Bombyx mori: one gene and its partner. Each later gene encodes a partner of the first gene's protein in a complex. Links are inferred from orthologs where the notes say so. Each region holds a gene or a part of one and is shown in the gene's direction. Other genes may lie near its edges. The genes, in order: exportin-5 and GTP-binding nuclear protein Ran.

Region 1 (12,390 bases):
ATTTGAATCCGAAATATCGGACACCATTTTTCGGTCGGAATCTATTCATCATGACACTAATCATAAATACCTCTTTAAAATATGTCATCAAAACATATTTAGACATTCTGTTTAGATATTTCGGGAAAAAGGCTACCGACAAAATCTCTTCGGAACTATTTAAATAAAATAGTTTTATTCCGCAGTGAGTAAAACACTATTGTAAATTCGATAAATATTTATTAATTAGGTGATTTTAGAGAGGAAGTCACAAGGAATGACGTTTGTAATTTCATTAACGAATAAATGTTCTGTAGGTGTTTTTTTTTAGCAGGCGGTCCCTTGATAAGTTTAAAATTTGAATCACTCTCAAGTGAGAGTGATTCAAATGGTGCGGTACACCTTCCTTGAGGTGCACTGCGGTAGTCTGTTACGGACTTTAGAGTCAGCAAAACAATTAAAATAGATTGTAATAGTCTAAGAAAAACACGTACTCAAAATACGATAACATTCAGCATGCTAGAAATGGGCTGATGGCACTGTACTATGCCATATCTTTATGTTTTGCGGCAAACGACAACTTTATAAAATCAGTGTAGCAAATTTTAAAAATCGTCATATCGTTTACTTGGAAAATTTGAAGCACGAACTCGTCTTAGATTTCACATAATATCTAAATCACATCATCTTTGCATATAACAATATACTTAATTTCTATTAAAGTATAAATTCTACAAATACATTAATACTCAACAATATTTAAAATAAAATAAGCCAAGAACGTTTATCGATAAAACCTACTAACATTAAAATCTTCTGGGCAGCACTAAAGCCGCCATGTTTTGTGGCCAGATGACGTCACAGTGGCACGAATTTTTTGTTGACGTTTCATTTCCATAGGTTTCCTACTTCAGTGTCATCAATACAAAACATTGACAAATTGACAAAAGCTCATGGCAGATGTCACCTCAATTATAGGTGCAATCGACAGTGCATTAACATCAAAAATAAAAAAAATATACAGCTAAGATTTGAATACATTGCATTCATTGCTTAAGATTAATTTAATTGGGAGATGATCCGCGACAGATTTTTCCTGTAAGTAGTAATATATATATATATATATATATATATTAATATACAAGAATTGCTTATAAAGGTATAAGATTTCTATTTAATCTACAAACTGTTTAATATCTCCAAAGACATTCAGAATTATAATATACATACACTGCACTGATAGTTAAGTCTTTTAATATTGTTCTAGTCATGTTTATCTCCATGCTTTGAGTTGAAATCACAAAAGTGCTATAGAGGTTATCATTATAATCATAACAATGCAAACATAATGCGCCTTGGAACTTTAATATCATATCATAAGGCTACATTCACTGTGACTTTGAACTATGGTAGATACTAAACCAGATGACTGGTGTTGTACTCCAAAAGTCATAAGATAATCCTTTCAATAGGTAGTGAAAACATATCTTTACGAGATCAATTTTTTTATAGTGTTAATGCATCTGTCGCAACGATGGGACTACATCATGTCTCTCTACGAGTCTGGTAAACTAGAAGAGGAAACCGGCAGTGAGTCTCAAGAAGTGTTAGAAGATATCCTCGTTAGAAACCTGACTAAAGAATATTTAGAAGTTATTAAAGTAAGTTGACATAATATCTACTGTTTGCTTAGTGTTTATAAGAAAATGATAAGCAAAATTCAAGCGGAAAGAAAAATTGAAAATGGGATAATCAACAAAAATATCGTGGAAAAAAATTATTAGTTAGATTTTGAAAGAAAAAATAATTTAATTATATTCATATTTAAAAAAAATATTGAGGAATGTAAATTTAATAAAAAAAGTTTACAGGACATTTGTCGGATCCACCTAGTATGAAATAATTTAATTTGTGTTGTGTGTGGGGTTAGGTGTCGCTGGTGGAGGGCGGCGTGGTGTCAAGTGCGGACACGTGCGACGACATGGAGGAGGACTCCAGCCCCGCGCCCCCCGCGCCCGCCGCCGCGCACACCCGCACGCCCGACGCCGTGTCCGAGCTGGGCGCGCTGCTGCTGCAGCATCCGGTCGCGGGACCCGCTCTCTTGCACACGGTAACTATGCCTACAACAATCAAATTCCTGCAATTATTCATTACAAGCTTTTACCACCAGGCAGGACCATCGATTCTGAACTTTACTGCGAACAACTGATGAGATTAAAGCAAGAAATCGAGAGAAAGCGACCGGAATTAATCAACAGAAGGGGTGTGGTTTTTCATCATGATAACGCTAGACCTCATATATCTTTAGCCATTCAGCAAAAATTAAGAGAGCTTGGCTGGGAGGGGTTAATGCATCCGCCATATAGTCCTGACCTTGCACCTTCAATTTTCCACCTGTTTCGGTCCCTTCAGAATTCTTCAGGCAGTGTCAGGCTAACATCACGAGAGAACTGCCAAAATCAATTGTCACTGTATTTTGATCAGAAGCCCCAAAATTTCTATAGCAATGGGATCATATCCCTACCTACAAGATGGCAAAAAGTTATCGAACAAAATAGTACCTACATACTTTAGCTAAATCTAAATAAACTATTATATATTAAAAAATGTTGTGAATGTTCTTAAAAAATGCGAAGATACTTTTTCTCCACCCTATATTATATTAGATCGTACGGTATGGCTACAGGTACTGCGTGCGCTGACGTGGGGCGACTCGAGCGCGTCGCTGCGCGCGTGCGGGCTGGCGCTGGCGGCGGTGGCGGGCGCGCGCGCGGCGGGGCAGCTGGGCGCGGCGGAGGCGGCGGGCGCGCTGCACGCCCAGCTGCACGCCCTGCGCGCGCACGGACAGCACGACGCCAACCAGGCCGCACTGCTCGCGCTCGCGCTGCAGGTACCTCCTCGCTCCTTCACTTGGTTTTTTTTAAGGGATTTTATAACCTGGTAACTAAGACCTTTAAGTCATGTCTTATTTTAAATTCTTATTTTTATGAAAAATGATGATATGGAGTGAAATGAAATGAAATAAAATGAAGATGATTAATTTGAGACATTAATCAACTGGGATGAAATTAAATGAAATGAGATAATATGGGGTGAAATATAATCTCAGTAAAATGGTGGTGGTCATTTACTGAGATTTTTTCAGTGAATTTTTTGAAGGATCCCGAGAAGTTACGTCCAGCGGCTTTGTTTCATTTTCCCACATCTGTGCACTTTCACAGATCTTAAACAGTTAGTAAACCACCGTTATTACACATTTAAACTAAAGAAACACCAAATAGACAAAATTCACTCCTCGCGTTCCCCCCAAGTCCCCTTCACTTGCTCCTTCATGAGGAATATGTATAAACTATGCGACTAAAGGACACATACTTATACACACATACTTAAGGACAAGCATACACATACTTATTATACAATTTAAGGATATTTTAATGGTGGGATAATTAAAATCATAAATAAAAAGAAATTAGCATGACTAAGCTACATTGATAATATTGAAGGAGTTGCCATAGGTAAAATATATTTATATTTTAAACAATCCACATTAAATCTTCTTAAAAAAGACATTATATTGCAAAAAACTAGAAAAATATATTAACATATTTAATTAATGAATTTCAAAACTAATATAAAACATTATATCTAAACAAAAATCTATTTTTATACTTTTAAATCCGTAGAATAAAGCATTACATTGATCAATAATTATTGATTATAAGCAAAAACAAAACGCTTGTTTAATGTTTTTGTTTTACATTTGATCAGTCGTTTTCGCACTCGTGCGCATTGTGGATATTATTAAGTGTTTCGTTGCGATATACCTGCTTATTATATTTTGTTGTGCATAAAATTAAGTCTTGGCGTTCATTGAATTAAGTCTGTGTTATAAAGTATAGTAATATAAATAATATTTAAGCTGATGATGATGTTAAAGTGTAAGTGTATTGACAGCAAATCATATGATATTCTTCTATATCGTTCCCTCACTACTGAGGATCGCGACCACATGCGACGTACTTCCAATGTGCTCGATCATGGGTGGCATGGACTGCAGGGTACAGACTACCACCGAGTGCTTCTCTTGCCAGATCTGACCATCTGGCTGGTGTTCTACCCACGGCGCGCTTGCCTTCTATTCGACCCGTAATTATGAGCTTCTCTAATTCATGTCTGGGAGACCGCATGATGTATCCGAAGAAGCTCATAACACGCTCCCGGCAGATGGAAGAGAGCCTTTTTCGGATGTCTAGCTGCCTTAGAATGGACTCGTTTTTTCTCATGGCAGTCCACGGTATTCGCAGCATCCTCCGCCACACCCACATTTCAAAGGCATCGATCTTTTTGATGTCCCGGCTTTTTATGCACCATGTCTCCGCCCCGTAGAGGAATATGGGAAAGATCAGTGCCCGCACCAAGCGCACTTTGGTTTTATATCGGATGCTACGATTTTTTCATATCTTCTCGAGATTGGCCATCGCACTTTTAGCCATACCGGATCTTCGGCGTATCTCCCCCGTGCAGCCACCCTCGGATGCTATTTGCGACCCAAGATATGTGAATTCCGCTACTTTCTCGTAGCTAGCCACTGAGTGCATCAGAACGTGGAAGAATTTTCGCTCTATCTATTATCATTATTTTGGTCTTGGAGTGGTTGATTTTAAGACTGAGTTTAGCACTTTCTTCTTCCACATGGTTCAGCAGAATTTCCATTTCCTCCTCATCTGATGCAAGCATGGTAGTATCGTCAGCGTATCTCAGGTTCGTGAGTGTTTCACCGCCCACGGAAATACCGCCGTTCCAGCCCTCAAGTGCTCTTCTCATTATATATTCGCCGTAGATATTAAATAATTTGGGTGACAGAATGCAGCCCTGACGCACTCCACGTTCTGTATGGAAGGGTTTAGATCTTCGATTATCCAGTTTCACGAAGCAAGAGCCATCATGGTAAAGATTCCGTATCAGTTGTGTGAGATGAGAAGGAACGCCCATATCAATTAACACATCAAACATGCTACTCCACCGAACACAGTCAAACGCCTTCGCATAATCTATAAAGCATAGCACCAGAGGCTTGTTAAACTCGCGAAATTTCTCAATGAGCACTCGGACGTTCAAAATTTGCTCGCGAGTTCCTTTTCCAGCTACAAAACCAGCCTGTTCTCTCGGTATCTGGTGGTCTATGAAAGCTGATAGTCTGCTGTTTATTATGCGAAGGAGTATTTTACTCGCGTGGGACATGAGCGACATCATCGACAAAAATCTTATCTTATTTTTTAAATATCTCTGTATCCCCATGAACAATATTGATTTTAATTTGTTTATAATAAAAGGCATATATAGTCTGTTATTTAAACTTAATTTGATTAAGGCGAATTTACATTACGAAATGAGTGGCATGAAATTAATTTCGTGACAATAGTTTTACCAACAGTTTCACGTGTAACTTAATACTGTCGTAATGCATTAATTTCATGCATGCAAATTAGTTTCGTGCCCTGCGCGATTTTTTGGTGAAATTAGTGTCATGCAATTAATTTCATATGGCCCAAGAGCCCGTGACAGCCAGACCTTCGTTATTTTATAAAAGCTGAAAGTTTCTCTGTGTATGTCTCCAACACAGGTAAGAACGACCCGCGATTATAGAGTTCCGATTGTGGTTACTTGGGCAGGTAACAGGCAGTAAAGGTATATAAAATAGTACCTTAAATTCGTTAAAGTATAAAGGTTTTTTTTTTTAATATTTACTCCAGAATATCTTTAGAAATCATGATATCCGTTGCCGGACACTTTTTCCAGTTGTTACCCCCTGCCAGACACCCTTAAACTTTAATAAATTTTAATTATACTTTCGTTATACTATAAAAGCTAAATTTTATATATGTTACTTAGGGACTTATAAAAATATGTTACCCCAAGAGCCGGACAGTTTTAATGGTTCTTACATCTTGCCAGACACATTGAGAGCCCGCTGTAGGTGCGAGCGCGAGGTAGCAACTGTTCAAGCGGGTGTGAGCGAGATAGAGTGCTTAGTCTATTGTGATCTTTTAAGATATCCAATAAAAAAATTATTTTATTACGTTCATAGCAATATTATAGAAAATAAAAAAGGTTATTTTAATATTATAAAGTACAAACAAAATATTACATGTCAAAGAAAAATATTTAATCGTTCTTATAATTTTCCTCATTGTCGTCGATATTGAACTGATGAATAAGGCGATATCAATATCGCCTTATTCAGTCGAGTCGGCCTGAGGGGCCTACGAGGGGGGGCATAGCTACTACCGTATCCGATTTGAGAGTACGAGCTAAGCGGTAGTAAGACCTTTGAGAGGGCGCGAGTCCTTCTAAGAAATCAGACCATCTGGCATCTCGGACTTCGGCGATGCGAGACTTTACGTCGCGTTGTAGGGCACGCATTCGAGTACGATTTTCCACTGTAGGATACCTATCGTAGGCGCGGATCGAAGCGTTCTTAGCTCTAAGGAGTTCCCTAATATCGTCGGGCAATTTGAAGCGGTGAAGGAAGTCCTCCGCCACAACTTGCTTCGATGACCTATCTAATGTCGAGGTGATGTGTGACATTACGATGTCTATGGCTTCAGCGGTATCCTGAGGAGACGGGGTAGAGTCCGGGCTAAACGGGAGCGATGGTGGATCAGATTCAGCCAGGCTAATGCCCAGCGTGTGCCAATCCACCACAGTCCTCGTGACGGGAACGGAATCGGGAGCGCGAAAAAAAAAAATTAGATCTTATTAATGAATATTAGCGACAAGGGTGTCTCTGGGACCCGAAACACCTACAGTAAAAAATTTAAATTATCTTCACTCATTCGAAAATAGTTTTTATAACTCTCAGGATCTTCATCTGCTAATTCAGAGACTAACTTCATTGCACCTAAATACCTTCTTGTTGACCATCCTCGAATCTACCAACTTCTTTTTACTTGATAGTCTTTTTTTAAGTTTATAGGTATATAAGCATTTCTTTAGCTTCATTGAATATGGCAAATTATAGCTTTGATGCTGAAGGCGCCATGGTTACTGCGATACTGTGGATTTCGCGACACTAATTTTTTAACGAAATTACTTTCGCATATATCGAAACTACTTTCGTGAAACTGAGCTCAACATGCATGACACTAATTTCGTAATGTAAATCCCGCATTACTGTCCTTCGTTTAGTGGGCCGTGCAATGTATGGAGAGTGGCCCATGTCCTTTGTACATATTTTGCAAAACATATCGATTTATAAATGCATTTGAAAATTTATGACGTGACCTAACATTTTTTTCGTTCAAAGATCATAGTTTTTTTATTGCTTAGATTGGTGGACGAGCTCACAGCCCACCTGGTGTTAAGTGGTCTCTGGAGCCCAAGGATATCTACGACGTAAAGTGCGCCATCCAGCTTGAGATATAAGTTCTAAGGTCTTATAGTTACAACGACTACCCCACCCTTTAAACCGAAACGCATTACTGCTTCACGGCAGAAATAGGTGGGGCGGTGGTACCTACCCGTGCGGACTCACAAAAGGCCCTACCCCCAGTAAAATGATGACGACACGCACAATTTTTTTTTTTTTATCTTTTCATTCTCCACAGACATACGAAACTCTCCGGCCACAGTTCCCTAACATAGTAAATGTACTACGTGCCATTCCGGATGTGGACGCACACGATCTGCAGCGGCTAGAAGATAAGCTTGCCAACAACACCGGGAAACCTTCCAAAATCGACAAGAGCAAACGAGATTTATTTAAGAAAATCACTTCCAAGGTACTTCTTTTAATGATGATAACACGTCAGTTAATGTAAATAAAATGGAATCTAGAGGCTTTTTTTTGGTAAAATTTTTGCTTATTTGGAAAGGCAAGGAGATCAAAAGTCCATACAGCCATGTCTGTTCTAGGAATCCATAGACAATACAACTTAAATTCCACTTCAGTGTACAAGTTCAAAGTCCCATTTGAATAACTCTTCATTTTATTTATACTACCAAAACTGGAAAGTAAGACACTACCTACTCAATAATATACTTCATTTTGAATTCCGAGAGTATGAGTGACGACCGATATGTGATTTACAATTTAATTTTCATCCGAAGTACTCTTATCTAAATTTGTTTTCTTTCACAAAACGAATATTTACCGTACTTACATTATAGAAGGGATCCGACAAAAAGCTAAACCCCGCTAACGACATTGACAAGATAGATAGGATTCTTCTACTCAGTCGTATGCACTCTTGGCAGAGTGGTCGTTGTCATAATTTCGTGTGGCACCACCACGCTTCACCAAACGTCGCCATTCCTCGCATACATACAGCATACGTACAAGTTTCGGATAACAATATTCGTATCCACCCGCGCGGTGGAGTCAGTCACTTCTAATATCGTTGGCAGAGAGTATATATTGATATATTGTATCGTTTTTGTATAGTTAATTGGTCGCAACGTGGGTCAGCTGTTCAAGAAGGAAGTGTTCATAGTGGATCTGCCCACGGTCCGCACGGCTCGCCCGCCGACTGACGACACCGCCCCGCCCCGACTGGACCTGCTGTTCGCGCACACTCCACCCACCTAGCCCACTGTCAAATCTATACCATGCTGTGAATACCACTTTGTATCTAAATAAATTATATTAATTATTATGTTTACTATATTTTATTTTTTATTGAAGTGAAACTTCTAATGCGACTTCCAACATTTCCTACCTAAGCTGAGAGCCTTGAGAGGCTATATCAGCGTAACCTTAACTAGTAGGTGAGCTCACGGGGCTCAAACCTGACGACGATGCTAACACGGACCCTAGCAAGAGCAGAATCTACCACCAGATTGGAAACGCGACCCACTGAGAAGATCCGGCGAGAAACTCAGTGGGCTGTGTCTATGGGTTAATTCGCCCGTCGAGCCCTTCGTCACAAGCGACGGGTTCAACGAGGACGGTGACCGATGCCTGTGGTACCTAAAAGCACCGTTAATGGATCAGGAGGATCCGTAATGACGTGCTTTGGGCGACGTGACTTAAGTGTATAATCTATGGACGTGACTGTTTACCATTCGGTCTACAGGGTCGAGTTGGTAGTTTCCAGCGGCCACGACAAGAGGGTTCTCATGTCGTGCCGCCTTCTCAAATCTCGCCTTGTCGCGGCGGTGGGGCTTAAGCGTGCACCCCGATACCGTGGAGCAGCGTTGTCTGCACAGGGGTGCCGTGAACAAAGAGGACTGCACACCGTGTTCCCGTTTTCCCACCTTTGCTGGACAAAGGGTGCGTGAAGCGGGAGATGGCTCCCTTCTGGAGCCGTCTTGAATGCTAGGCCATGTCCCCGGCAGCTTTTTGGCTGCTAAAGGGGAAGGCCCTCCAGAGGAGGGTACCGGTACGCCGGCGTGGCCACACCGTGGTCAGACGTGTGGGTCTGTCAGTAATGGTAGACCCCACGTGGATGAGAAGTGAACCGGAGGGCACTCCCTTCCGGTCGCTGGTTGCCATGTCCCCGGCTGCCTCTTGGCGGCTACAGGGGAAGGCCCCCCAAAGGGGGGTACCGGTTTACCGGCGTGGCTTCGAAGAAGCACACCGCAATCCCTACCGAGTAGGGGACGGGGGCTGCTGCCTAGCAGGAGCCGTGAGGATGCGAACCTCTATAAAAAATGCCCCAATCCCAAGTTTTTGACACCTGACGATGGGATGAATGGCTGGAGGGAGTCTAGTCCCAAGGGTTGTCCCATACCGTAATCCCCACTTGGTGGGGGGCGGGGGCCGCTGCCTAGTAGTGGCCGCGAGGATGCAAACCTCTATAAAAAATGCCCTAATCCTAAGCCTGTGACGTGCCCGGTGATGGGATGAGTGGCTGGAGGGTGTCCAGTCGTGAGGGCCGTCCCAGGGGACCGACCCCTGGTTAAATAACAAAGGAACGAAATGAATGATGGCAAACTTACAAAAAACATTACCCCAGGAGGGTACCACTCTAGGTGGAGAATCCCTCCGTGCTTCCACTTCGGTGGGAGCATGCTGCCCCACGTATTCTGGGGGGGGCAAAGCATGCCACGATGAAGGGGGCTGTGCGACGGGCAGCGGAAAACCCGTCGAACCGAGGTGTGCCAGCGCTGGCTCGACGCGCTCTGCGCTCGTCAGCGACTGCGAGGCGGCTGGCCCGAAAGGGAAAGTCAGGCGGAAGAGGAAATCGAGGGGAGTTTCTTCCCGCGAAGGGAAGGGGGGGCTAACGTCGTCCTCTGACACGGATGCCCCACCGGAGAAAGTGGTGGTAGTCTCCGATTCGGCCTCTGCCGCGGAGGAGATGCCGCCCCCTAAAGGGAGACCCGCTCGGGGGAAGGGCGCACCGTCACCGGCGCCGTCATCGGCGTCGATGTCTGTCGCCTCGCTGGACGGGCGGACGACAGAAGAGGAGGAGGGCGGTCTTCGGGACCCTGCCTTGGTCATAGGCAGGGCCATGAAGACCGTCAAGTCGTATGCGGCGACCAGTGCCAAAACCAAAGCTGCTGGCCGCAGGCTGCGGGAAGTCGTCTCGCGAGTCTCGAAGGTTCTGCCTTCGGTTGCTTCCGCCAATGACCAGGTGGTGCAGCTGATGGCGGAGAATTTGAGGCTCCGAGCACAGCTACAGGCGCAGCAGCGGCCCGATGGCAAGGTTGCTGCTACCAAGCGGGTAGCCGCGACGAGGTCGTCGCCCGCGTTGCCGCGTGCCGCTGGGTCGCGGACTCCTCCGGCATCTGTGCCGGCGGTGTCGCCGCTGGTCTCCGGGGTCCCTCGGGGTCCCTGTCCCTCAGCGGCGGCTGGCGACCCGTGGCCCGTGCTGCCACCATCGCGCGCGGTACAGCGGCGTTCGCGTCTCCCGTCGCCGCGGTCTAGGGAGGCGACGGCCGTCGAGCGGCAGCAGGGATCCGCGGGGCCACGGATCTTGGGCCTGCCGGAACCGAATTGCTACAGCCTGGACGAGATTATCGATCGCACCGTCCAGGCTGTAATGGAAAGGCTGGGTGGCGGGCTGGCGGCTCTCGAAGCGAAACGTATTGTCGCTGGTGACGCTGAACGGCCTGCGTCTACACATGCCGCGGTGTCGGGTGCTGCAGTGACCCGCTCCACCCCCGTACAGGCTCCAGCTACTAGGGCGGGCCCGGGGCGAGACAGAGCCAAGCGGGGGGGCGGCGCTAACGCGAAGTGCACATCGCAAGCGCCTCAACCCCGTCCGCTGCCCCCGCCCCCGTCTAACATGGACGAGGGGTGGAATGTGGTGGCCCGGCGGGGTGCCAAGAGGGCCGTACCGACAGCTCCCCAAGTGGGTGGAGCACCGGCCACTGCGGCGTCTCAGGCTGCTCCCCAACAGGGTCGAGCGCCTGTGGCCGCCAAGAAAAAGAAGACGAAGAAGAAGTCGACGCGCGCGCCGCGGTCGGCGGCAGTGGTCTTAACGCTGCTGCCGGCCGCCGAGGCCAAGGGCGTGTCATACGGAGATGTAGTCTCCCGGGCGTGCGCGGCTATTGATCTGGACGAGATCGGGGCGGGGGAGGGCCTCCGCTGTAGGCTGACGGCCAATGGGGCCAAGCTACTAGAGTGTCCCGGTGCCGATAGTTCCGGCATCGCGGAGCGTCTGGCGGCGAAGCTCCGTACGGTTCTGCCTGAGGAGGAGGTTCGAGTGCACAGGCCGGTCAAAATGGCTGAATTGAGAGTGACCGGCCTGGACGACTGCACCACTAAGGATGAGGTGGCGGCGGCTATTGCCGCCCGGGGCAACTGCGCCCTGGAGAGTATAACCGTAGGCGAGCTGCGCCTCGGTTATACCGGGGCTGGCTCTGTTTGGGTGCGTTGCCCGGTAGAGGCGGCCACCTCCTTGGCTGCTCCTCCGCCCGGGAGACCGTCGGGGGAACCGGGCAGGTTGCGCGTGGGCTGGATAGCGGCCCGCGTGCGCCTTCTCGAACCACGCGCCTGGCGGTGCCTCAGATGCTTCAGCACTGGGCACTGCCTTGCTAAATGCGCGAGTGCCGTTGACCGCAGCGGATTGTGCTTTCGCTGTGGTCAGCCGGGACACAAGGCGGCCGTGTGCTCGGCTGCGCCGCACTGCTTATTATGTGCGGCGGCCGGGCGCAAGGCTGACCACCGGGCCGGGGGCAAGGCCTGCCCTCCGGCCAGCAAGAATGCTGAACGAAATCGGCGCCGCCAAGCTAAGCGGCGTCAAAAGAAGCGGTTGGCCGGGGGAGCACCGGCCGGCACTTTGTCCCCCGCTGAGGCGTTCGCGCCCGATAGCGGGGGCAATGGAGTAGGGGAGGGAGCGATGGATGTGGTTCAGTCTTAATGGATCACACCTATCGCTTCCTGCAGGGAAACTTGAACCACTCCGCTGGGGCTCAGGACATGTTGCTCCAGACCATGGCGGAGTGGTCAATTGACGTGGCTGTGGT
Region 2 (12,442 bases), on another chromosome or scaffold:
TAACAATCGATTTTTTTAGAAAGGAAGGAAGTATTACTTGTGGCCCGGAGGCCTTTCCAGTTTCACCAGGACAGGTAGATCAGCACGGGCTCGGCCAGGAGGCGGTGATATAAGGCAGCCTCCTTTACCACTTACCCCGAATTCGAGCCAATTTGCTTAATTTCGTAATTTTGCGGGATTTAAAATTTTATTATTATATTATACTTGACTACATTTTCCTCAACAAAATGTTACCATTACATAAAGAGGAATTTTAGTCTAGTTTTTTGTAAGTTTTAATGTACTTAGATATGGAACATGAACTAAATAGTATGTAATAATGTACACTCAAATTTGATATAACCAGAGTAATTTGGCAAACAATAGTAACCCGGGGACTTCGATCGACAGACAGAGGCTCTATTTGGATACCTGCCAGCAACATTAACACATATTTTCGTATGCTGCAGACTGTTGCTACACGCTGACGTCATCGATTTTCAAACAATTTATATAACACCAGAAGATCTTTGAGCCAGACTACCCTTTTTTGTCAGGAGGAAATGACCAGACTTCCGGTCTCCACTGGGGATGGAGGGTGGGGCATGTCGGAGTTGAACCGACTAAAACCTCCTGTCGCTCAACAACCAGCATCCAAACCTCGCATGTGACAGAACTCATGAAAAGGCAAAGGGGGGGGGAAAGTGAAGCGTTTAGTGCGGAGCATATCTCTCCCATCACCCAGCCAGACAACCCTACTATATTCCCATAATCAAACGCATGTTTCAAGAAACCATTTTTTTTTTTAATACCTGTTTTGTTTGTATTGAAAGATAAAAAATGGATTAGAAAACTCTCTGTTTAACATAAAGGTTGCGAATAACTCTGACCCTGGCAGGGCGTTGCGGATATCTCAACATTGCGTTGCGTCGCTTTATCGCAGCGGGTCGGACCGCAGGCACCACAAGAGAATCCCGTGCGGTGCCAAAAGTATAAATTACCTGCTCCAACTAATACCATATAAGAAAAAAAGTGTTATTTACAGTTTCAAGTATGCACCGCTTCTTCGTTTACATACTCACGTGAACCTATTTTGAAGTGAGTACTACGGTTTATATTCAAATATTTCTGGATACATTAGGTAGACTAACTAAACTCTTGCCAGGGCTCACGGTAAATTTTTACCGGAGCGAACGATACTTTCGCTTAATTGCCATGCCGTGAGAAGAATTCTAAAAATAGAAAACGACGCATAATATAAATCAGCTGGTTGCGAGTACAAGTAAACGTAGACATTGACTCTACACTATAATAGTGCCACTATCTTACTCTCGGCTGAACGCTATTGTACACCAAGGTTAACAACAGCGCATACTATTTAAAAAAAAACGTTCAAATATTACGTTCCAAATTTGACAAGAAAGGATTTTCTCGAACGTTCGAAATAAAAATTTGGCGGCGACTGAACAATTTCTAAGTTGCTTCGGTGGCTTGAAAAACTTTGCTAGTGATGATGCTCAACAAAGAAAAATAAAACGGTTTACTACGTCGACTCAAAAAGTTTTGTTGAACCAAATTAGAAATTAAGCATTAGGAATTTGACATACTAAGTTCAAGTTAAAACATTTACACTCGAGAATACAAACGAAATGATTGATGATGTAAATCTGACGGCCAACGAGTTCATGAGTCAGTTGTTTTTTGTGAAGGCCGAATGCCGGATGCCGCCCTCGTCAGCTGATAACAGCATTTGCTAACGTGGTAAACTGTACACATGAGATCACAGCGTTGCCACTTATCGGACTGAAATATTTTCGAATTCGTTATTTTTAAATTCCACGTCCTCCAATTTTTTGTTATTTTATATTCCTTTAATAGTTACGAAACTCCATAGTGATTTTTAGAGTAAAATCTGTGACATTTGTCTGTTTAAGCTTTGTTCAATGAAACATCTCGACTAGGATTGAAGAATGAATGTCACGAGTTTATATATATTTTTAATCGGTTTTATTATGTTTGAAAGATGTTCTACAGATTTACAAATTATAGATCATACGAAAACAGTCTTAAATCAGAATGTTTTTAGATTATATAAAGCCCATTTCTTCTTTAAGTATATGTAATGTTGTAACTAGATAAAATCGCTGGAAAATAAATTTACGATTACATAACCTTCAAATGAACTACGAACGAAAATCAAGAAGAACTACCAAAAGAAAACACAAATTATAGATCATACGAAAACAGTCTTAATTCAGAATGTTCTTAGATTATATAAAGCTCCTTTCTTCTTTAAGTATAAGTAATGTATCTAGATAAAATCGCTGGAAAATAAATTTACGATTACATAACCTTTAAATGAGCTAGAACTACGAACGAAAACCAAGAAGAACTACCAAAAGAAAACAAACTTGATTGAATGTTAAAAATTGTAAGAAAGAAGCGACTACAAGTATGTATTTAAAAAGTTCCTACTCATATGAAAAATAGGTTTATGAAAAAATCAATTACAAAACACGAAAGAATATTATTATTATTGTTTCCTCCGCAAAAACTTCATATTTTTTTTTTAATTAACTAAGTAAGTCCGTTTCATTTACAACATTTCATTTGACAAGTATAGAGACGACACATCGAAGATCTAACTAAGTATTTGCAAACACTTAAAGCAAACATCTATATCCACGGAGAAACCAAATGAATACCTTCGTGAGAATAAAACGCAATCCTAATTTCCAATAATTTTGCGCACACTAATTTGCCTAATTACTTTTTTTTATTACTTTATTGCTTAGATGGGTGGACAAGCTCACATCCCACCTGGTGTTAATTGGTTACTGGAGCCCATAGAAATCTACAACGTAAATGCGCTACCCACCTTGAGATATAAGTTCTAAGGTCTCAAGTACAGTTACAACGGCTGCCCCACCCTTCAAACCGAAACGTCTTACTGCTTCACGGAAATAGGCGAGGTTGAGGTGGTACCCGTGCAGACTCACAAGAGGTCCTACCACCAGTAAAAAATTATGTGAGTGTAATGATAGGCCGTATTTTAATCCCGCAAGGGTATGCACCAACATCTTGCGAATTTTTTAGTTACATAATGCTAATGAGCACTTGAAAAGTGTTAATCGGCATTGATTTACTTTTCTATTAACCTCTATTAATTGAATTGAATTGCTGATTATGCAGGAAGGTACTAAAATGTTTTACGAAATTTTTATTACAGATTTTGTTTTGTTTCATCTAATGACATTTAAAAAAAAAGGAAGAAATATAATGCACAACATACAGCTGTCGCCGATATTCGTGGGTACACAAAATAAGTCGGAAGACATTATCAAGATTGAATTTTGGTAGAAGTTATAATTAAATCAAGGCATTCATTAATAGCACTATGAATAGTCCACATTAAACGGCGCATTCTAGAGTTTTAAAGAAAATATTTTAGGTGTATTTGCAGAGTATGCTGGAATGGATCAGGGGCTACACACATTAAAATAAGTATTGTTAAGCATTGGGCAGGGCACTGTGAAGATTTGTACAAGGAGGACCAACGTCCTAGTGTTCAAATTAAAAGTGAACAATAGCATTAATCAAAATTTTATGCACTTAACTCAGCTTTATAACCGAATATGGGATATATTCAGTTATCACTCAAACATTCTAATTAAAACCTCATTTTACGGTTTAATCTGGTGCTAATTATTTTCATTATTTAATTTCCGAAGTTTCGGGTACTTTACATTTTTCGTGATCATGGACGACTACGTTATTAATCTTCGATATTTGAATAATGCGGTAACTACCGTCAAATTTTCTATAAAATACTTTCTCATATTTACGCTTCTTTTGAAGGGTAAAAGTATTTTTAATTATGTTTACGACTCGTGAAAAAAAATTGTAATTTTCTATTCACACAAATTTTCATTGAGTTTCTTTTGGTTCCTGAAATGAACAAAGGAACTCACGATCTGCCTCGCGTTAATTGGTTACTGGAGTTACGCAGAGACATGAGATGGTATATATTACATATTACTGGTACATATTACTGTTCAGACCAGAACATACGAGTACATCACGGCAGCAATAGAGCTAAGAGAATATATAATTTGTTGTTGTTGTCCTAGGGTACCCCGCTGGTACATAGGGCCCTCACAAGTTGTCTCCACTTTATCCTGTCTTGCGCTTGCTCCTTGACATCACTCCAGGTCACGTTGTCAGTCCTCATCTCACTCTCTACGGTGCGTCGCCAAGTGTGTACAGGGCGACCAGGTCTTCTCCTGCCAAGCGGTTGCCACTCAAACGCGATTGATGCTGCGTTGACTCCGCTGCGCCGTAGTGTGTCCTATCCAACGCCATTTCCGATGAGCAATGTCTTGCGCGATGGGTTTTTGGTCACATTTAGTTATATAATTTGTGAAGAAAATTTATTGTGTATTTCGACAAATTAATTTTATGATAGCTTTAAGTTATTTATTTTTATCATTCAATATGAGTTCATTATTGATGGAAGACAGTATTAATAAGCCTTATTCTATTTATCTAACCTAATTTATCTACTTTTATGATAAAACTGTAGTCTATAAGAAAAGTTTGAACGCTTGTGCGTGAAGATAATCTAACTGTGGAAATAACGACTGAGATATGATCCTAACGTGTGCATATTCTTTGTTCGTTTATTTTTTCGTTGGAAGAGCAGACAAAACCTCCCATTTCGGATTTTATATTGTTATTTATCCCAAATTGTATATAAAGACGTGGTGCCGCGGTACTGTTGAAGTATTTTAGATGTTAACGCTTATTATTTGTCGCCTTCTTAAACTGAGGGTAGGTAAACTGAGGGTAGTTAAAAATACAATCCCCGCCTCCTACTTGTCGATTAAAATACATAAGCGGAACTTGATTCGTTCTGTCTCATGCAGTTCGTTCCGTGCAGATAATGACCTTATTATAAGATAAGGCACGTCGGCGCTTTACACTTGATCGTGCTAAAATACATAAGCCGATTTGATGTTGAATTTGTTAGAAGACATTGTTAACCATTATTTATTTAAACAAGATTACAGTAAATCTCCACGGCTTGATGCACGAGACCCACGATATGGGGGCTAGAACAGCCGTAACTCTAATGGAGTTGAAATTTTAACCTCTTGTCGGTGAGCTCACCTGACTATATGACTATATAACTAACAATTTGGCATATGACAAAATTTATTTATAATATCTTCATATCTATTACAACACCCTCATGTGTGTAATTAAGGAGAATAATAGTAAAAAGATAAACAAATTATAAACGAGTAGGGCTGTCTAAAGCCATCACCTCACTTAATACTAAGCTTGGTTTAAGCGCCGAAACAACGTTGCGCACAGTAATTGGATTTATGGTTTTAGGTGTCTACTACATCAGTAAATCGTTAATCTCTCCCAAAATCATAGTCAACGTGGAATGTAATACACAGGAAAGCAAAAAGAACATGCGAAAATGCAAAGAATTGTACTAAAATCAAAAACAAATTAGCATGTTATTTTTATTTCAAACTTGGAATTGAATGCTGACAGTTTCATCGTTTAGACAGTCTCATTCGGACCCTCAAGTGCAAATCAATTCAATGAATTTCATTTTTTACAAATCAATATGTTACCAAATTAGGGACAAAACATCCCTCCTTAAAAATAATGCACAATAAACAACACTTTTCATCAAAAAAGTGTCTTTTACTATTGAAAAGAAATTTGGAAATCGAAAAACATATAAGTATTTTTTTCTTTGTCATTGAATGTTTAAAGATTTAATGTTAATGGTTTGTTTGGTTTGTTCTAACTAAATTATAATCTTCAGAGAATTTATAATAAGAAGATTTATAGCAGTGTGATTTTAATGATTATATGAGTCATCTATTATCAAAGGTGGCAATCTGTGCATTTGGACAAAAAAATGTTATTGATATGTCAATACAGATTGATTTGAATATAATCGTCTCCTTCAAAGAATACGGTTCAAAACCTGCATTAAATAAAGGTTAATACTTAACCTGTTATTTATCTAAGATGTCGTTCAGAAGAGTTTTGTGACTGCCAATGGAATACAAAGTCAATAATTCATTTTTCTGATTTACCAATAATTGTCCAAAAGTCACATTGCCGGCTTTGATAATAGTCGACTCATATTATCATTTCAGGTGTATTTTGTTAAACTACAAAACTTATTTTACAATACCAATTTCTAATGAAACAAAAATAATTTAGAAATAAACAGAAAAAAATATTCAAATAACAATTCCAAATTAAACTATCCAATTTGCTACAATAGTAAATTAATTTCTATAAACTAGGTACCTTTCCTATACTTAGTGAATATTTTAATATGTAAGACTTAATTGAGTATATGATCAATATAAGAGCTTGTAGTTTTTCTATCTTAATAAAAAGTTCGAATGTATATGTGTCAACTTCATCAAGTTTGTATTTCACATGCAGCACTTGGTCCATTTATAAGTTTTAGGTTTATTTTTATTTTATTTTATGGAGTGGGTAACATAAAAATAGTATACTTATTTTGATAAAGAAAAGCTGAAAATTACTTTTTAAAATATTAATGGATGTAAATTGTAGCATAATTTGATTTCATTATTTATTTTAATAATTTTATTTCAATCAGTTGTTAAATTATTCAAATTTTAAAGCCTAGATACACTTTCAGTAACTTTGATCTTAATTTTCCTTCTCCACTTCATTGTATCTGACTGTTCTTATGAGTCATAACTTATTGCTCATATGCACTTTAACTAACTGGATAATTAAAAAAAAAAAATACACTCAAAGTTACTTTTGTATCCTATGATTTAATTTTTAACTCATGATAAATAAAAAAATCCGTACTATAGTTGAAATACTAAACAAGTGTTTACGACATTTCAGTTTTATAACAATAAATGTTTTCTTGTGAGGTTATACAGGTTTAAAGTTTTCGACATGGTTAGTGGCCCAAAAACAATGCAGATAAAGTAGGTTTCTTACAAGAATAGCGGAACGCAACAAATGTCTCGCATGAATGACAGCTATCATTCATCCAAGTCGAGTACGGGGTGGGGCGACCAGAATAAAGAACCCTCGTATATTTGGTTTGTCCAAAGATGTGTAGTTCTTAAAAAGAAGAAACTATGAAAATATCCTTCAAACTCACGATAGGCACCTTATTATCGGTATTTCATCATGAATTCGAGGTCATCGGCAAGACCATTAGATGTGCGAGAAGAGAGAAACTACAAATCTACTTACCGCTTGAAGCGCCGCTAACCTGTCCTTCGTCATCCTTTACAGAGAATCACGCACCAAGTAAACGTTTTTTCTCGTTACACAATCCCATTCAAAGATATTTTTCTAACAAACGTCACTAAACTAAAGGACACGAACACTACGTTCACTTCACTCAAAAAATCGATACCATACAAAACGTTCAGACGAGCAAAACTTCACTTATCGCTGGTCGCTACACTCGCTACCTGTCTCATGCTGTCAAATTTAATGTTGCCATAATTTTTTTCTAGGATCCACTAATATTAAATATAAAAAAAACAAGGCACACATGCTAAGAAACAACTTATAAGCTTCGTGCGCTACTGTGAAATGAAGATTGTGAGATGGATATAGTATGGCGACCAGGCTCATTAAAATTAAAAGAGGAGTACGTTTTAAGAAGGCCGCAAGACGAAACTCAGCAACGATATATTCATATAGGAAGGATCTCAGAAAGAAACTTTGCACGAAGAAGAATAGTTGCTTGTTCTTCTTCGTTCGAAAATCTATCGAAAGGCCGAAGATGGAAAAAATCCATCGAGAAGCAAGAGTGATTTTATAAAATTTTAATAGTGTAAAGAGGAAAAAGACGATCTTACGAAGTCTTTGTGGCCGATAGAATTCCCGCGGGCATTTACCATTTCTTATTGAAAGAAAATTTGTGTATAGCGTGTGTTCATGAATGGCACTCATGATGAGCAAATTAAAATAGAAAATTAATACAAAACCATTAATACAAAATAAGCTTTATGCTATATTTTTTTGGGAGTCATAATTGCCAATTTTGTTGGCAAAACCACTAAGATGGCAATGTTGAATATAAAATGTTTGAATTTGTAAGCTATAGGGGGCGTAGTGGTTTCGAAATACCAGTGACGTCAAATACCCTGTAGTCAAAACAGCGCATTATACGGCTTATATTATTAATTTTAAATACTGTTACCCAAATAGAAATTAACTCATTTACAAAATATATCTGATTGAAAGGTTAGTATATAAAATGCAAATTAATATTTTTTTAAACATTTGAAATAGTTTTACGTGGCTTTCATAAATTTAAAAAGACCTCACACTGACTCTTAATTCACTGTGCTTGTCAATGTCAAAATTGTCATTGTATGTAATCTTCCGCTTAGTCAAGTGACGCCATTGTGAGCCGTAACGACTTTGCTTTGGAACGAGTTAAATCTCGATTTTCTTATACAATCACGGTAAAGCCTTTAAAAAAATTATTTGTTTGTGTTCTATAAAAAACTGCCAATAAACTGATATCCATATTTATATTATTGGCGTTGTAGTTTTTCAGTTTTTCTCTTTAGAGTTCGGTACCTTCGAGCTAAATTCCTATGAGAGTGATTGAGCGCCATTCGCCGAAAAGTTAAAACAAATTCAAGTTGTCAAGTTCATTCAAACTCACAATTTATGTACCCAGTGATGAATTTAATCTGCTTAAAGTGTTGAATTATTTCTTGTATTCCGCGAAACCTAGTGAACGATCGATTGAAACGACCTGTCAACCGTGCGTCATAGAACATTCTATGGCTATATCCTAATTTTAGTTTACCACATTGTTTCAGAAGTAAAATAGCAATAAAACAACGAAAATGGCAGATGATATGCCCACATTCAAGTGTGTATTGGTAGGAGATGGTGGTACTGGCAAAACAACCTTTGTCAAAAGACATTTGACTGGAGAGTTCGAGAAAAAATACGTTGCGACTCTGGGTGTCGAAGTACATCCTCTAGTATTCCATACGAACCGCGGGCCAATTCGTTTTAATGTGTGGGACACAGCCGGACAAGAGAAGTTTGGTGGTCTTAGAGACGGATACTATATTCAAGGACAATGTGCTATCATCATGTTCGACGTAACCTCTCGAGTTACGTACAAAAATGTACCTAACTGGCATAGAGATTTGGTCCGTGTATGTGAAGGTATCCCTATTGTCTTGTGCGGAAACAAAGTGGATATTAAAGACAGAAAAGTTAAGGCGAAAACTATTGTTTTCCACAGGAAAAAGAATTTGCAGGTAAATAAAACTATTTTCATTCAATTTAAGAGTTAATTTTAAGGCAAAATGTTAAAATTCTTTGTAATTATTTTTGTTTCAAACTTGATTATTTTTTTCAGTACTACGACATTTCTGCTAAGTCAAACTACAACTTCGAAAAACCCTTCCTGTGGCTAGCTAGAAAATTAATTGGTGACGGTAACCTTGAGTTTGTTGCCATGCCTGCCCTTCTGCCACCAGAAGTTACAATGGATCCTCAATGGCAGAACCAAATTGAAAAAGATCTTCAAGATGCACAAAATACTGCTCTTCCTGAGGAAGATGAAGACTTATAAATATGATCAACGGATGTACCCAGTGCCCATTTTGTGATTGGAGGATCATGCAAATGTGTTCAGTGTAGCGTACACTAAATTTTTTCATTCCATTAGGTGATCGCAAATGAACATTATTTTAATAACTTATTAAACCTTCAATCATTTGCTTTAATTAATGTAAAATCATTAGATAATTTAACACGTAGCTCCTCTAGTTTGAGTTTTATAAAACTGTAATTCTAAACTTTTATATTGAAAGGCAACAAAAATATGAGTATTATTTATGTGTAGTTCATTTTTGTTACAGTTGTCATAAAAACATTTTGCATTGATTGCCCAATATGTGTTAATGCCTATTTGGTCACTGTTATTTATAATACACATGTAAACAAATTTGTATGATAACTCTTTGTAAACCAATAGCATGTACACACATAATATTATAATCTTGAAATTATTTCTTACTTTTGTTACATGCAAGGACTGACAATATTTCACTGAAAAATTGAATTGTGGTGATACTTTTTAAATAAAGTGTAAAAAATGAGATCGTGATTTTACTTCATCATATAAATAAAAGAAGCAATGGAGAAAATGGGTTGTTGTAACTTAAGATTCTTTAATAATAATAATATGTAGAATCTGTAAGTGATCTGATTTGTGTGGTTGTTCACAATATTAATGAGCTATCTAATTATTGAAAATATATGACGAAATACTGAGAAATTATTTATTAGCCTCTCTTAAATATTAAGTTTCATGAGGTAGGTACCTACACATTATGCATATGCCTTCAATATCTGGGATTTGACCTTTAGTGCCCTTGATGGCTGGCTCTGAGGCTTTTTCAAGCGTATCTCGAGTCGGGGCGGTTGCCGTCGCAATGAAAGTTACTTTTTAGTCGTTTATTCCTTTAAAACCCTGTCCTGATTGGAAATCGCTGGGGCGCTAAAAAATCACGGACGTTGGGTGTGGTGGAGGTTCATGGCACTATATTGTTCACCGGTTTGGTGTTACGCTCTGATCCTCGAAAATGCGACTGCGCTGTGGATTCCACTGCATCTTTGAGGTGGTGTGCATGCTCACCGGGGAATCACCCCGGGGTCTGGAGGCGGATGCGCCCGCCACGGATTACGCGTTGCGTGGCGATTTCCGCTCTAGGAGAGAATGGCGCACCGGTGAATAAGTGCGGAAGCTCTAATTTCGGCAGTCCGTGCTGAAGACGTTATGTCGCCGCTTGGTGATCCCGTCCTATGGTTTACGGACCGTATAAGCAGTCTGCGAGATCTTTCCGGACTAGGTGGGTCACGAGTCCCGACCGAAGACGCATCATTTTCCGACTGACGCAAGTGCTCACTGACTCCGGTTGTTGCCACCACTGTACTGACCGCAACGCGGAAAACATGCTCGCGCGCTGCACTGCGTCGGGCTGCAGACGGAGCAGCTTGCGGAAGGTCAGCGGCGCAAGCTGACACCCTCTACCTATCCTGTACCACGAGCCGCTCGATAGAAAGAACTCCACCCCGTGTCAAGCCTTAGTAAATATAAAAGAAAAAAGAACAACTAAGAATGATTATCGAGGCCCTTACTGGTCATGTTTTTTTTCAAGTAATACGAACTTATTTTATGCTAAACAGATAGTGATCTGTATAGGTCTCGCATGAATTTAATTAAACAACTCCTGTGACTTATTTCATTTTGCTTAATTAAAATTTTTGTACAAGACACTTTTCTTCGATCTCATATACTATAAGCTTTTATTAAATTTATGGAGGATAGAGGTAAGGAACACCATCTTGTATAGGGGACAAGTCGAAAAAGTGTGTACCTGTAAGCTGCCAGTTTTTATTAGAAGACTCACCGACACTGAAATAGCGCTAGTGTATGAAGTGGAAATGATATAAATGCAAATTATTAAAGTAGTTTTAAACAGAGTGAAGTGTGCTGGATTGAAGTGAAGTGTGGTAGTTTATAGTGCTGTTTTTTTTAATCTTTCCTCTTACTACTATGGCACCACCTTAATTGGTTCCCTTTCAGCGGACACTTTTAATACACTGAAACAGGCTCCTAACTTATGGACTCCATAGTTGAAATCTTTAGATTTCGTTCCCTTTGCCTAAGTGATTGGAAACAAAAAGCATAAGCAATTTTTTTATTATGCGAATCAAAGAGTGAGTAAGTGAGTGAGTGGACTTTTTGGCGAGAACGCGAGGAGTGAAGTTGTGTGATTTGTTTTATTTTGTCTATTTAGTGTTTCTTCAGGTTTAAATGTGTAATAACGGTGGTTTATTAACTGTTTAATATCTGCGAAAGTTCACAAATATGGTTACAAAAACCAAATCCCTGGACGGGACTTCTGAGGTTCCTCAAAAAGCACACTGAAATTTCAGTAAATTTTCACCATTTTACTAGGATGTTATTTCGTTTCACCTTATTTCACGCAATTTCCACCCATTCAACCCAATCTTAAACAAATCAATGTTATTTCATTTAGCTTCATAATATCATAGTTCTTTTTTCTACCGAATCGTTATGTTAAGGGGATATTCCAACCACACACGGACCGATAGGTGGCCTCACGGGCTCAATCTGAGAGAAGATTCGGCGAGAAACTCAGATGTTAACGTTTTTCACATTTTAACAGAATAAAAGAAGAAAATAAGAAAATTGGCTTAAAGATCTTGTTGCCAAGCCGAAATTCTTAAATAAAAAGTTAAAAGTAAATATTAAACATAGTGACATTAAGTGTAATCTATGACAGTGACCATAGATTATACACTTAATATATGTGACTCTATTGTAGGATTTTATAAACAAGTTATTTAATTTAAA

The links.
Region 2: exportin-5 (region 1) and GTP-binding nuclear protein Ran share a complex: the UniProt entries of both Homo sapiens proteins name them as parts of the nuclear export receptor complex. The link is inferred for Bombyx mori from reciprocal best matches to the Homo sapiens genes XPO5 and RAN.

The regions. Positions count from the first base shown.
Region 1 is NC_085119.1:13,751,482-13,763,871, reverse strand, and holds the end of exportin-5, read left to right. Parts: intron 1-1,491; coding exon 1,492-1,640; intron 1,641-1,909; coding exon 1,910-2,089; intron 2,090-2,665; coding exon 2,666-2,869; intron 2,870-7,586; coding exon 7,587-7,760; intron 7,761-8,422; coding exon 8,423-8,566; 3' UTR 8,567-8,633; downstream 8,634-12,390. UniProt on the Homo sapiens protein: Mediates the nuclear export of proteins bearing a double-stranded RNA binding domain (dsRBD) and double-stranded RNAs (cargos). XPO5 in the nucleus binds cooperatively to the RNA and to the GTPase Ran in its active GTP-bound form.
Region 2 is NC_085116.1:5,367,845-5,380,286, forward strand, and holds GTP-binding nuclear protein Ran, read left to right. Parts: upstream 1-8,416; 5' UTR 8,417-8,492; intron 8,493-8,858; 5' UTR 8,859-8,885; coding exon 8,886-9,311; intron 9,312-9,412; coding exon 9,413-9,628; 3' UTR 9,629-10,157; downstream 10,158-12,442. Other genes in the region: syntaxin-1A, read right to left, coding at 7,264-7,296. UniProt on the Homo sapiens protein: GTPase involved in nucleocytoplasmic transport, participating both to the import and the export from the nucleus of proteins and RNAs. Switches between a cytoplasmic GDP- and a nuclear GTP-bound state by nucleotide exchange and GTP hydrolysis.